Danio rerio: one gene and its partner. The protein of the gene in region 1 purifies or fractionates together with the protein of each later gene. This does not show direct contact. Links are inferred from orthologs where the notes say so. Each region holds a gene or a part of one and is shown on either strand. Other genes may lie near its edges.

Region 1 (7,396 bases):
TTGTTGAATCTATGTCACAAAGGATTAAGGCAAATCTGAAGGCAAAAAGGGTAGTATGGTGTACCTAATAAAGTGGCCGGTAATTATATACTGTAACAATAGTAATGATGCTGCACAGCCCTAGTTCATAACTCCCAATAAATAAATAAAAAATGTTTCTTTAAGGAAAGTTTGGTGAGCAGAGGTAAAATAGAGACTTATGGGGATGAAGCATCCTCAGAGGAGGTCTCGTATGAAAGATCTCCTGTGGCCACTGTCATTCACACTGAGAGGGTTTGTATGCGTCGTACTAAACAGCTGTGGAAAATGAGCACTCATTGATTTCATGCATATGGCACCCACGCACACACACACACACTTAAGACTTCCACTACAACACAGCCATCCTAGCGTAACAAAGCCACAGGGAATATAAGAATTCTTTTTTCCGTTCTAATTTAAGCACATCTCTCATTTAATGCTGTGTATTACACACGATTGCACGCATCAACTGATTATCTCTGCATCACAACACTAGGAAACAGAGAAGAGTTATTTGATCTACTATGAAATGGCATTCCCTTGAGCACAGATGTGACAAAGAACATCCAGCAACATGAGAGTTTACAGTGTAATACACCAAAAACAAGGCTGCAGATGGACTGCAAGCGTGTCTGGTGCACATGCCCAATTCCTGCAGGCTTGTATGTGTGAATATCATATTTTAGGAAAGGCACTGGAACTGTTTATTACTGTACTGCCTCCTATAATTGAGATTAATGCAGTTCGGCGAGCACAACATGGAAAGACGCCAACATTATAATCTGATCCTCTGCACCAGGTGTTGAGTTTTCAGGAGCTGTTTAATAGGAAAGCGTCTGGTTTGGAGTACAACTACAATGTGACGTGGCCTTAACCTACTTGCAACAAATAAAAATAGATTTCTTTTCTAGTTGAATTAGTTGGTTATGTAGACAGATTTACTGCAAATCCCCAAAGGACAAGCATCTGTTTCCTACTTTTTTTTTTCTTCTTCTGCCTGGCACAATTGTGCCATCTAGTGACACTGTTGAAGATAAAATACTAAATGGACGGATGTGGTCAGTCTCAGAAAGGCAGTCTGACACCATGTGAGAGTGAGACTTTGCCATGTCAAAGAAAATTCACAACTAGATCTATTATATATATATATATATATATATATATATATATATATATATATATATATATATATATATATATATATATATATATATATAGAGAGAGAGAGAGAGAGAGAGAGAGAGAGAGAGAGAGAGAGAGAGAGAGAGAGAGAGAGAGAGAGGGAGAGAGAGAGAGATTTTTGAAGGTTCAAGCGTCTAAGTTTTGTTAATTTGTATAATCCTGTTGAATGGAGGACAAAACCTGCTACAACAATAAAATAAATAAATAAATAAATAAATAAAAATGCAAATAGATAAATAAATGTGCAAATAAATTCACAAATTCATGCATAAATAAAACCATGAATAAATATGCAAATAAATACATATAAAAATACATACATTCCTGCATGAATAAATATTTTAAAAATTAATAGAGCGGGCAAGTAAATGCCATCATTGGTCGATCTTTTTGCAGGTATCGGCCTCCATAATCTTTTTTTTTTAAACAAATCAGATTTATTAATTATATTCATTAAAATAATAGTTGGTTCCTAAACATCTTTAACAAATAACTTGATGCATTTTTTTTTATTTCTCTATGTTTTTCTTTTTTTTTTTTTTACATTTTTACGTAATATTTTTCCCTTACATATACATTTGTAGACCATTATCATTAGTTTTTTCATTAGATTAGCTCCATGTTTAACAAAGAACTGTCTAATTTAATGTATATGAACAAATATAATATTATTTTAACTGTTGTATGTATGTGTGTGGGTGTGTGATAGATAGATAGATAGATAGATAGATAGATAGATAGATAGATAGATAGATAGATAGATAGATAGATAGATAGATAGATAGATAGATAGATAGATAGATAGATAGAATATTTACATGATATTCTAAATTCTACTTAAAAAAATACCATGGTATACATTATATATGTCGAAAAAAGCATACCTTAACATCAGTTGTCTATTAAGCCTCAATTGGTCCATCAGTTATTTCATTTAAAACATGTAAGAAGACTCATAAAACCTTCAAAGTGTATGCTACTATCTGATAAGGCAACAATAATATATAAATGTATATAAACACAACGACTCTTCAGACTCTTATTTGAGTTCATTTGAACTATTCTGGTAGGCCATGCTATTTGTTTGAAAAACCTACAACATATATTTAGAAAATACTTCGAAAATATTGTACTTATATCAAATACTTAAATGATTTGCACCTTTTATGCTGGGTTTCAAGAGGATTTGGATGCATGGCGTTCGGGTATTGTTTCTCACGGTCAGTCAGCATACTTGAAAACACGAGCAATCGTGTATCTCTTGATATAAGGGACTCCCACTTCGGAGGGTTCTGCGCAGGTTTTGCGCAGAGCGGATGCGCACGAACACACTTCAGCCGTCTTATTATCTCAGAGGAGCCGTGAAAACATTATTGTGTTCATCTGTGTCGAGCGAATTCTGGCGTTACCGATCATTTCACATCAATAAACGAACAATGATCGATCATCCGGTGACTAGCAGATGAGCCAGATCTAACCGTCGCTTAAAAAAGGCGAAAATTCGGCTACATTGTCAGGTGAGTAAACTGAAAGACATTGGGAGAAGACGCAGCAAAATCGCCAAAAATATAAATATATATTCAAGTAAGCCGAATGATGATGAAGATATGCCATTTTACATGTTTGTGTTGTATATTTCGACAACATTGAAGTGTCGAGGGTTTGTTTTTTAATGTGAAAAAGGCTGTTCTTGCTGTGTTTTGGTCAGGGTGTTGTCCTGTCTACAGGCCTCAATCTGATCTATCAAATATCAGATCTCAACATCAGCACATTCAAAACCTCAGAAATATCACGTTTGAAAGTGTTTGTAGAGATATCATTGGTTAATGTACTAGTTAAATGTGTACATAGGTCGATTTTTGTGTTTTCTGTTGAGTTGTTGAGGGATTTGGGCCTGTAATGCAATTTAAAAGAACGCTCATCCCATTTCTGCTAACCTACATAAAACCAATATTGTGTTTTATTGATGCAATATAACATAACGGATCTATCGTTACTGTTAACAGTGTCGTTTTCAATATGTCTATTTTGTTGTCAATATAACCATTTGCTGTATGAGTATTATTACATATTTTAAATTATATTGTTCTCAACCAATCAGCCTAAGTTAGCCTTTGTTACTTTTGTTTACACGTTTTATGTCTAACGTTAGTAGTGTAGTGTTTGTATTTGACATAATTATTTTTATAATACAAAATAAGTTAATGGATGGTATTACTATTATATATATATATATATATATATATATATATATATATATATATATATATATATATATATATATTTATATATATATATATATATATATACACTTATATCGTTTGAGCATCGATATTATTTTTTTTATACAATAAAATTATAATCGGTTTAATAATTTGTTATCTATATGATACAATTTTTTTTTACACTTGATTTTTTTTTTTTATTTCTGTACTTGCATACTGCTAGACTCCCCGGAAAGCCATAAAGAACTGTTTATTTATTTTTACTCATAACTTATTATAATTTTTGCAGATGTACTGCATAAAAAAAATACTTCACAGTTGATCTAGATGAAAAGGGCTTTTAAAATCATTAACTTTTATTAATATTACAATTTATATTATGGCACAACATAACATTACAATGTCAGATTTTTTCAATATTGTGCAGCCCATATATATATATATATATATATATATATATATATATATATATATATATATATATATATATATATATATATATATATATATACATACATACATACATACATACATACATACACACACACACACACACACACACACACACACACACACACACACACACACACACACACACACACATATATATATATATATATATATATATATATATATATATGTGTGTGTGTATATATGTATGTGTGTGTGTGTATATATATATATATATATATATATATATATATATATATATATATATATATATATATATATATATATATATATACACATTTAAGTGTTAAATACAAAACTATTGTAAGGCTATTATTGTTCTACCACTTTAAATCAAGCTCATTGTAGACTGAATCTACTGACTTTAATTTTTACTTTCGCAATGTGTTTATTTACAATAGTCACATCGCAGGATTAGATTATTTATTAAAGGTTAAAATTAATACATTTTATTCTTTTTTTGTTTTTTATTATTTATACAATAACTTTTTTTTTTATACCCTTGATTGTTTTTGTACTTGAATACTGTTAGACTGTTCGGAAAACCACAGAGCACTGTTTATTTATTTTTGCTTGTAATTTATTATAATTTTTGGAGATGCACTGCATAGAAAAAGACTCCCCAGATGATCTAGATGAAAAATAAAGCTATTTAAATTATCTGGTGAAGTTTTAATTTATATCGTATATGTTTATTATGGCAAAACAAAATATTGCAATGTCAGATTTTTACAATATCTTGCAGCCCTTATATATTTATATAGAAATATAATTGACATTTTTAGATTTTATTATTAATATTTACAACATGTTTATGTTGTATGATGGAAAAAACATTTACATATAAATGTTAAATATGAAACGATTGTATAACTATTATTGTTCTGTCACTTTAAACTTAGCTCATTGTAGACGGTTTATTTATTTTTCCTATTCACAATGTCTATCTGCAGTAGTCCCATCGCAGGATTCTTTTATTCATTGAAGATTAAAATTGATTCATTTTATTATATTTTAAAAATTATTTGTACAATGATAACCTTTTTTATTATTATTTTAAATTTTTTACACATGATTGTTCACTTCCCAGTCAATCTAGATTTAAATAGAGCTATTATTATTATTATTATTCTGCCATTATACTGACAAATTATACTGACTTTATATATTTTTTGCTATTTTTGCACAGGATTTTGTTAAGAAATTATTTTGCGATTTGAAAAACCACACATACAGTAAATAAAAGGTTAATAATCAAATTAAAGCTTCAGCAGGTCTCTCATATAATACATTCAATAATGGACAAAGTATTACTTTACAAATTGTATTGTACATACATTATCTAAAAAATAGCATTTTATTAAATAATAATATTACTGTAATTAGTGTAAAAACTGAACATATATATATATATATATATATATATATATATAAATTTTTATTTATTTATTTATTTTTTTACACGCATTAACTTGTAAAAAAGTTAATAGAATGAATGATGGGCTCAAAAATCTGTGGATTTCTGCGGCTGTGTATTTTGTGTGGGCTAGTTATCAGTATTGATTATACAACATAACTGATTTTATTTTATTTTTTTAACAAACACAAAACATTTTAGTATTTCTTTTATCGGTTTGTTTCAATGGTTCTTTCCCCCCTCTTGTTCATAAACCCGACCTAAAATGAATGTCTGATATTGTAGCATATTCAGTTCTAGCATCATAAAATGTCCCGTAAATGGTTTGCCTGTAAAGGATTTGGGTCATGATATATTTAGATCATTTCTGCGTCTGATTTGGGCCAGATGCTATTAAGAGCACGTTACATGATTTGTGCGATCAAGCCAGACGGATGTATTAGAGACAACTTTACAGATCTGTGACAGACTGTCAAGATTGCGAAGTAGTTGGTTTCTCTCATCCATTGTGTTTCTGGTTTCACTTTTAAAGAGATAGTTCACCCAAAACTGAACATTTACTCATCCTCAAACCTTGATGAGTTTCTTCTGTTGGACACTAATATGAGATTTTGAGTAAAGCTGAAAACCTGTAACCATTGACTTCTATTGTAGGAAATACCATGCAAGTCAATGGTTACAGGTTTGCAACATTTTTCAGAGTATCTTCTTTTGTGTTCAACAGGAGAAAGCAAGTCAAACAGATTTGGATTAAGGGAAGGGTGAGTAAATGATCAGTTTTTGTGCCTTTTAATCTGCTTTCAAATATTAACAGATGTTTTTTTTTTGGTGTGTAGCGCAGGCTTTATTTACATGTATTGCATAAATAGTACCCTTGCTTGTTAAAGTGGAGTACTTATAAGATGAGTAGTTAAAAATGCAAGAGCTTTAATCGCCACAATGAACAAAGAACTCAAGCTGCTGCTGTTTGCTCGTGACTTTAGCCGACTTAGGCAATGTAGTTTGTAAACAGTGTCCCGTTTGTTACATTGCTGACAGCAGTGTGTAGGCAGATTCTGATTCTCTGCATTATTACAAAAATCTCATATCCGATATGAGTCTACTGTATAGACTTGTATACTGATTAGTGTTGTAATGATATGAGCTTTTTCATAGTTGATAATTGTCTATATTCATTCTTTTATATCACATTTTACCTGTTTTTATGTTGTTGTTTTTTACTCATTTTTATTATTCGTTTTTATTTTTATTTGACTTGTTTCTTTTATTTTTGTTTATGTAAAGCACTTTGAATTGCCAATGTGTATGAAATGTGCTATATAAATAAACTTGCCTTGCTTATATATTTACACAGTTTAAGTAACAATTATTAAAAAGTAAAAAGGTAAAAAGTGGCTTTTTTAAAGGAATTAAAGGTTTTAATGAGCCCTATAAATGTATTGTGAAAAATGTAGTAAAATAATTAATTTTCTTTATGATTTCTGTGTTTGTTTATTTATTTATTTATGTATTTATTAAGATATGTTTTAATGTATATTTTTAAATGGTTAAATGTTTTTAATTGTATGATAATCATATACATTCAAACCATTTACGGTGACACTTAAATATATATTAAGGCTGCACAATATATCGTTTCAGCAGCAATTTTTGCAATGTGATCATTGGCAATGCAATGTTGAGTCTGGATTATTATTAAATATTTTGCAAGCATTTTTTTTTCCAGGCTTGTGACTATGTGAGGGTTTTAAAAGCATTCAGGCAAGAGAAATTGTACCATTTGTACCTCTGACAAACTAGCAGTGATTAATGTTATTGAATAATTTATAAAAAGAAGACTATGCAGTATTATTTTATTTTTGATTACTTAATTACTGTATACCTGAATACAGTTCGACACCTTGGAAAACAATAAACAATGGTTTATTAAATAAATACAATGGTTTATTAAATAAATACAAATCTTATTTTTTTTTTCTTTATTGAATTTATGTTTGTAGATTTTTAAGTTTATTATTTTTATTTTTTTTACAGAATCATTCCAGTCAATCCAAAATAATTATTTAACTCATCTAAGTTA
Region 2 (6,794 bases), on another chromosome or scaffold:
ATATTATGTATACAAATGTGTTGAAAATCTCTGCGTTAAACAGAAATTGGGGGGAAAAACAGGGGGGCTAATAATTCCGACTTCAACTGTATGTAAAAATCCCTGACTCTCAATGTTTGGAAAAACACTTTTGAAATTCAATATTGCAGAAATTCCATGATCTGTGGAAATCCTGGTCCACTCTTTATGATTGCATTTAAAAATGATGAAAATGATAATCTGTGGAGCTCTTTTTGAGCCTTTTCCAATTATTAAAAATGAGGAAAAAGAAATGGTAATATATATAAACCAAGACCACCCAGCATAAAAAAGAAAGCCAGACCCCTTCTTTTCCTTCTTGTTTCTGTTGTACATCTGCTGTGTTATTGCGTTGCATTTAAAGAAAACCCTGTCTGTGTATTCTGTTGTTGCCCATATCAGTGTTCATGTCATCCGTCCGCCATTCATATCATACCATTTCACTTCTTAATTTAATTCATTTACAAGGCTCAGGCGAAGCAGACCGGTAAGAAGATCATGTGACACACATTTTGCAACATGTAGGACTACTCTTGTTTTAAATACATTAGGTTAGGGGCGCCACCCCTTGTACTTTTGGATAGATTAAGTAAGATAGTTAGGATACTCAGTAGGCTTCTTTGTGTGTTAATTTATTTTGTTTTCATTTTATTTAGTTAGTTCGATGTTTATGGAGAGTTAGACATTGTGTGAGTTTTGTTCTTTTCTTTATTACCGCCCATGTCCTTTTCTGCCAGCTCTCTTGTTTTTCTCCGTCTTTGTGTTTTTCCCATTGTTGTACATATTTGAAAAAGTATATATTTTTTATTAGCTTTTTTTTTTTTTTTTGATTGATTCATTGTTTTTGTTCCCTCTGTGAATTGTAAATAAAAGTCAGTTTTTGGTATATCGGGTTTTGGTTGACTTTTGCACTTCATTCACTGTGTATATAAATGTCTTTTTAATTGTACTTTAAATGTCAAACCCCATTCACCTAAACCAGGGGTGGCCAACTCTGTTCCTGGAGAGCCACCTTCCTGCAGATTTCAGTTTCAACCCATATCAAACACACCTGCCTGTAATTGTTGCATGGTGTTCAGGTCCTAATTAATAGTTTCAGGTGTGTTTGATATGGGTAGCAACTGAAATCTGCAGGAAGGTGGCTCTCCAGGAACAGGGTTGGCCACCCCTGACCTAAACTAACATCAGGGGTTTGTAACAATTATATAATAACCATTTACACAGACAAAGGGTGGTCCAATACTTCTGTATAAAACCTGTTAAAACACACCAAAGGTGGATTTAATCGGCATGTGCATTTCATAAATAACACTTAATAAAGCGTTCTAGTAAATAATGAATTAAGAATCATCTTTCTCTTCTTATGTTTACGCTATTTTGTATTAATTTTGATTTATTGTTACTTATTCATAATATTAAATACTTAAAATCACAGTATATCGGTAGAAATATCATTTTATTTTGATTAATTCATTCATCACTTAGAAAATGTCCCATATTAGTCATATTCAGGTTCCTTTGAAAGTTAAAACAGACATTAATGTTACAATATGCACATTTTTCCTGGAGGGAAACACTACATAGCTACATGTTTTTTCCTTCACCTCAAACTGTTCAGACTGTCTGTGTGCAAAATGTGAAGCTCACCAAAGTGATGAGAAGTTAAACTGAACTCTAAGGAGGTACTTCATCTGAATCTGAGCAGGGTTATAAACAATGTACTCATTATAAAGAAGAGAGTATCCTCCTTTCTGGCCAACACCGGTCTTCACAGAGGGTCCCAAGGGCACAGTCACACCATTCCTGAAAGACAGCAGGAGAAAACGTCAGTACAGCACTAAGGATGCAATTGTGTAAAATCTCAAGTTAAAAACCGAAAAGAGACTCACAATGAAACTGATTTTTTGGGGTCTGGTGCAGTTTGACCCAGACCTTTTGTGCTATGCTTCCCAGAAGGCAGTTGGTCGGCATTGTAATCTGCGTCCAAAAGTTCATTACTATCTCCAAGGGCAACCTGTGGTAAGAAAAGTAGACAAAATGACACTTCAGCAGTCACGTTATTTTAAAATGGCAGTTAGAGATGGGGTGTTATTCACACTTTTAGCTATTTTAGTTTGTTTGCTCTTGGTTCACTTAAAAGTGAACCTAAAGATATTAAACAAATCTTTTCTGATGTATATTTTGCAAACAGAACAGCCGTCCCAAACAACGTTGTGTGATGATGGTTAAATGTGCTCACTGAATGTTTTAATCAGCTGGGAGTAATACAATCAGAAATTCCTCTGTCATACACAGAAATAAAGATCTGGAGTAATAAGATGCATTTATAATCACTGTATGAAACAGCACAACTTTGATGGGAAATAATAAGTTTTGCTGAATTGTTTGGTATTTTTTGTGGTCGTATCTTGTGGCACCACATCCTGTTATTTCAGAGGAAGAGGACAGATATTCATGTATTAAGAGGTCACGGTCTGCTTTAAATGGCAGCATTCAGACTTATAAAAGACACAAAAGACTGTTTTTTTCTATTTACCATATTTTCAAGTAATGTTGAAGTCAAATTTCTTAATCACCTGAAATGCGCTGTGACTAATTCCAAAGGGACTTATTCAATACAATTAATGTAATGCAAGCAAAACAAGTGCAAAGTGTGCAAACATTTACATTTCTATTAAATCAGAGAGAAGCTTCAGTGCTTTCAGATTTGCTTTAAATAAAATGTATGTGTATGATAACTGTATAGTGAAATCCACTATAACTTCAGTTTGTTTATACTTAAAATTTACCATTTACTCTATTATATGTAAATGAATTGTGGGGGGCTAAGTTCAGGGATATAAAATAAATTTTTATAACATTTGTAATTAGGGGTGTGACAAGACACTCCACGAGACATGAGATTGGGTTCAGAAGAAAGAGACAAGATGAGATTTTTAAACTATTTTTAAAGAAATCTTCAATGATGAAATTCAACAGGAAAAAAACTATTTAGGTACTTTTTTTAATCAACTTGTAATGAATGTTATTTTACTTATATTTTAATTAATTCTATGCAGAATTCTTTGCTAATATATTATTGTAAAATCTTGTTTATGTATATTTTTAAATATTAGCAAAATACTTGTTAATACATGAATGTAAAATAGATGTATATTTACCTGAAAAAAAAAAATCACAAAATGCAAATAAAAAATGCTTTTTAAAACCATCCTGTATTGAATGTTATATTACTTCTATTTTAATGAATTCTATGCAGTAAAGGACATGCAACCCTGCAAAATATTTTGCCATAAACTCTACTAACTTGCTTTTCCCTGTACAATTTCACATGAGAATCATATCATAGAATGAATCATAGAATCAAACCCCTTTTTTTCCCAGACAACAAAAAAAGTGTGTTTGTTGATGATGATGACAGGTGTGTGTCTCTAGGAGTTCACTGTGTGTGCGCACACACCCAGAGATTTAGAGAGGTGTGTGTCTGTGGTCCTTTATTGACTTGGTAGGGGCAGAAAATAGTGTCAAACAACCGAGTGTATATGGCTTACCCTGTCAAAAATTTTTGCCTAAAAGTTCCACATGACGGTTATAGTTTGATTACAGTGCTTACATGTCTGTGCTGCACTTCAATAGCAATACTCCACAATTCTTAATTCGATTTGTGTTTATGATGATTATGACTATTTTATCACATGTTAATGTCCATGATTAATTTGTGTGATGGCAGTTTATGCAGCCTTTGCTTTTGGATGCGACAACCTCTGGACTCCAACAAAAAAAGCGGTTACGTCACACCCGTCCAAGCAAACGAGTAACGGGCAACAGAGGCAGCCCGGGTTGCCAGGTGTGTGGAAAGCACTTGATGTGCGGTTCAAATGCAATCCTGCCTCCAATCTTCAGTGATAAATCCACCCTCACACTATATGATAACATCACAACTCAAGAGACAACTTTTCATTTCAACGAGAAATCTCATCATAATCTAGTCTCACAAGATCTCGTCACACCCCTACCTGTAATGTTATTTTTTTGCTTTATTCAGGCCTACCAGTAGTCTATTTTAAATTATTTCTGAATTGAATCATAAAATGTGACAAATGCATAATATATTTAGGTCAGTTGTGTACCTGTAAATTCCAAAGTATCAGGGCTTCCACAAAAACATTAAGCAATCCTGACAGCAGATCTGCTGTTTAGATACTACAAACCAACCTCGCTCAGCAACAAGAGTCCCTGGTTGTTCTTCTGACTGGCAAAGCAGTAATTGGCACTTTTGGATGACATGTCTGCGAAATAGATCCCCTTACCAAACTAGACAGAATGGAAAACAAAAGAAAACCTGAGTGAGTTTGAGATTTTGTTAACTGTTCCCCTTAAAGATTGCTATCATATTGGTCTAACACACAAAGACTTTTTTTCATGCAATATGTGTGACTCTCACCATGTATCCAGTCACAGGAGCCTCTGCAGGGGCCACTCGCAGACCCTGACTCAGGATCCCCACCCAGTTTGACAGACGAGAGCCGTGCCACAGGAGCATCCTGCATCCCCAAACACACAAAAACAACTTGTACTACATTCAAATATATGGCAATAATATTTAAATACAGAAAAGCCATGCATTAATCCAGAGTCTAAGGGAGTTCCTGTTTACGGAGCATTAGATAGGTCATAAAGTGTAATTGATTGCAGGTGGTTTAGTACCTGTTTTGCAGCTCAGAGTTGAAGTTGTCCTTCTCGACCTCTCGTTCCACAGCAAAGACATCCAGAAGAGTCATTGTGTAGTCAGTATGGGTGGGTGCATGGGTGGACTTGAGATATTTCTCTATAACCTTTAGATAGAAACAGCGTGTGCTTAAGGACAAAATTACATATTTAAAAATAAAAAAATGTAACATCCCACTGAATATTATATTTCAAAATAAGACAAGTCTTGTGTACTGTACCTTGTATTCATTGCTGTCAGTATCCAGTGGTTGCAGTTGGCAGTTAAGAGAGTGATACTGTCTGTCTAAAGGATGCTCGTCACTCTTAACATTAGACTGAACCATTTTAACCGCTATCTGAATGTCACTTAGAGTCTACAAAACAGAATACAATGACATTTTTTTGCTATGAGTGTGTACTTGTACAAATTGACTAAAAACACAAATCTAAAAGAAAACTGTGAAATATAATTGGCCAAACCCCAGCTATTTGCTCAATAAAAAAGCAACAATTAGAATAACAAACCTCGAGCAAAGTAATTTTCTCCTTCAGCTCCTCCTCTGAGCGAATTATTGGGGGTGTCCGCAACCTAAATGAAGATCAACTGGTCAGACAAACATAAATAAGCACACATACACTCCAGTAAATGTACAATGTGTCATAGTAGCTGTTACAGGGATAGTTCGCCAAAAAATGAAAATTCTGTCATCATTTACTCATCCTTAGCTTGTTCCAAACCTGTTTGAGTTTCTTGAACATTAAAAAAGATATACTGAAATATACTGCCAGACTTTTTTTCCAATGTTGTTCAGTTTATCTTGTAACAAAAGAAATGTATAAAAACTATAGTTTGCATTTATTTAATTAAAATATTTGTTAATTGGAAAAAAAAGTGTATAAAGTAGGGATGCTCCGATCAGGATTTTTGCAGCTGATACCGAGGCGAGTACCAATTCCTTGTCACAGTGATCGGACAATACTATGTAAGTACCGATTCTGATGCTTCAAGCTTTATAACACATAAAGAACATTTTCCCTCTTTCCACAATACTTAAGTGGAGATCTCACCTTATCCAAGAGAAAAAATTAAGGATGCTGCATATAATCCCTCAAACACGTCTCTTATAACCTTTTAGGTGAGCCTGTCATGGCCAGAAGCAACTTCACAGAAAAATTACAAACAATGCAATTTGAAAACATTGCAAATGATAAAAGATGAATTCAACATGTTTCAATCAAGAAAAAGTTTGGAGCGCATTAATCCATGACTCTTTTACTAAAAGAAAATAGGCCTATAAAGTACTGTTTATTGCAATAAGTATATTAAAATAAGTTATATTGTTAAATATTCATGTTAAAAATATGTTAAGTTTAAGTTTTATTTTATTTAATCATTCCAGCCAGCTTTTAATGAACCTGTAATATTGTCAAAAACACAGACCTTTCACTTGTTATATGTAAAAAGGCTTTAATACACGTAGGACTGTTCAAATATTTTGCTCATCTCCAACTACTGACAGAATTTCCGGAGAGTCTCACAGCAGCTCAATAGCTCTATGACAGAGAGGGGGATTTGCACTTGCGATATTTTTACTGCTCTATTCATTTAACCTAACAAACGTAAAGCTAAAAAAGATGACACATTATTTACCTCCTCACGTGTTGTGGCTGCTGTATGCTATGTATAATATATAGGAGCACACGTGCGTCTTCTTCTGCTTGTAAACTCATAAACAAACATCTGAAATCGGCGATTGGCGAGTACCGATCGAGTCATTAAATGTGATTATCGGCCGAGACCAATCTTCTAAGCATCCATAGAATAAAGTGTTTGATGTATTAATGTGTACTTGGTGAATAAAGCTATTTACTTGTGCCCCCAGGCTTTCGATCAATAGTGCACCTTACCCAAAATCATGAGGGATGCGGGTGTAAAACTGGTTGCATGCATCCAAAAGCTCCTTGTTACTCCCTTTCTTCTTTAAACACTCCTCAATTCTTTTCAGTGAGGCATAGCCAGCACGAATTTGCTCTGCTGTTAGTTTTCCTGCAGGAATAATAAAATC

Evidence for each region. Proteins that work in one complex are often made in the same cells at the same time.
Region 2: the proteins of rnf146 (region 1) and parp2 purify together in Homo sapiens (affinity purification with mass spectrometry; 4 studies listed by BioGRID and IntAct, counting the BioPlex papers as one, with this or other methods). This does not show direct contact. The link is inferred for Danio rerio from reciprocal best matches to the Homo sapiens genes RNF146 and PARP2.

What each region holds. Positions count from the first base shown.
Region 1 is NC_133198.1:43,852,162-43,859,557, reverse strand, and holds the start of rnf146 (E3 ubiquitin-protein ligase rnf146), read left to right. Parts: upstream 1-2,500; 5' UTR 2,501-2,720; intron 2,721-6,040; exon of another isoform or gene 6,041-6,077; intron 6,078-7,396. UniProt on the Homo sapiens protein: E3 ubiquitin-protein ligase that specifically binds poly-ADP-ribosylated (PARsylated) proteins and mediates their ubiquitination and subsequent degradation. May regulate many important biological processes, such as cell survival and DNA damage response.
Region 2 is NC_133177.1:40,865,070-40,871,863, reverse strand, and holds the end of parp2 (poly [ADP-ribose] polymerase 2), read right to left. Parts: intron 6,776-6,794; coding exon 6,637-6,775; intron 5,318-6,636; coding exon 5,254-5,317; intron 5,103-5,253; coding exon 4,968-5,102; intron 4,854-4,967; coding exon 4,726-4,853; intron 4,563-4,725; coding exon 4,463-4,562; intron 4,333-4,462; coding exon 4,234-4,332; intron 2,033-4,233; coding exon 1,908-2,032; intron 1,822-1,907; coding exon 1,662-1,821; 3' UTR 1,458-1,661; downstream 1-1,457. UniProt on the Homo sapiens protein: Poly-ADP-ribosyltransferase that mediates poly-ADP-ribosylation of proteins and plays a key role in DNA repair.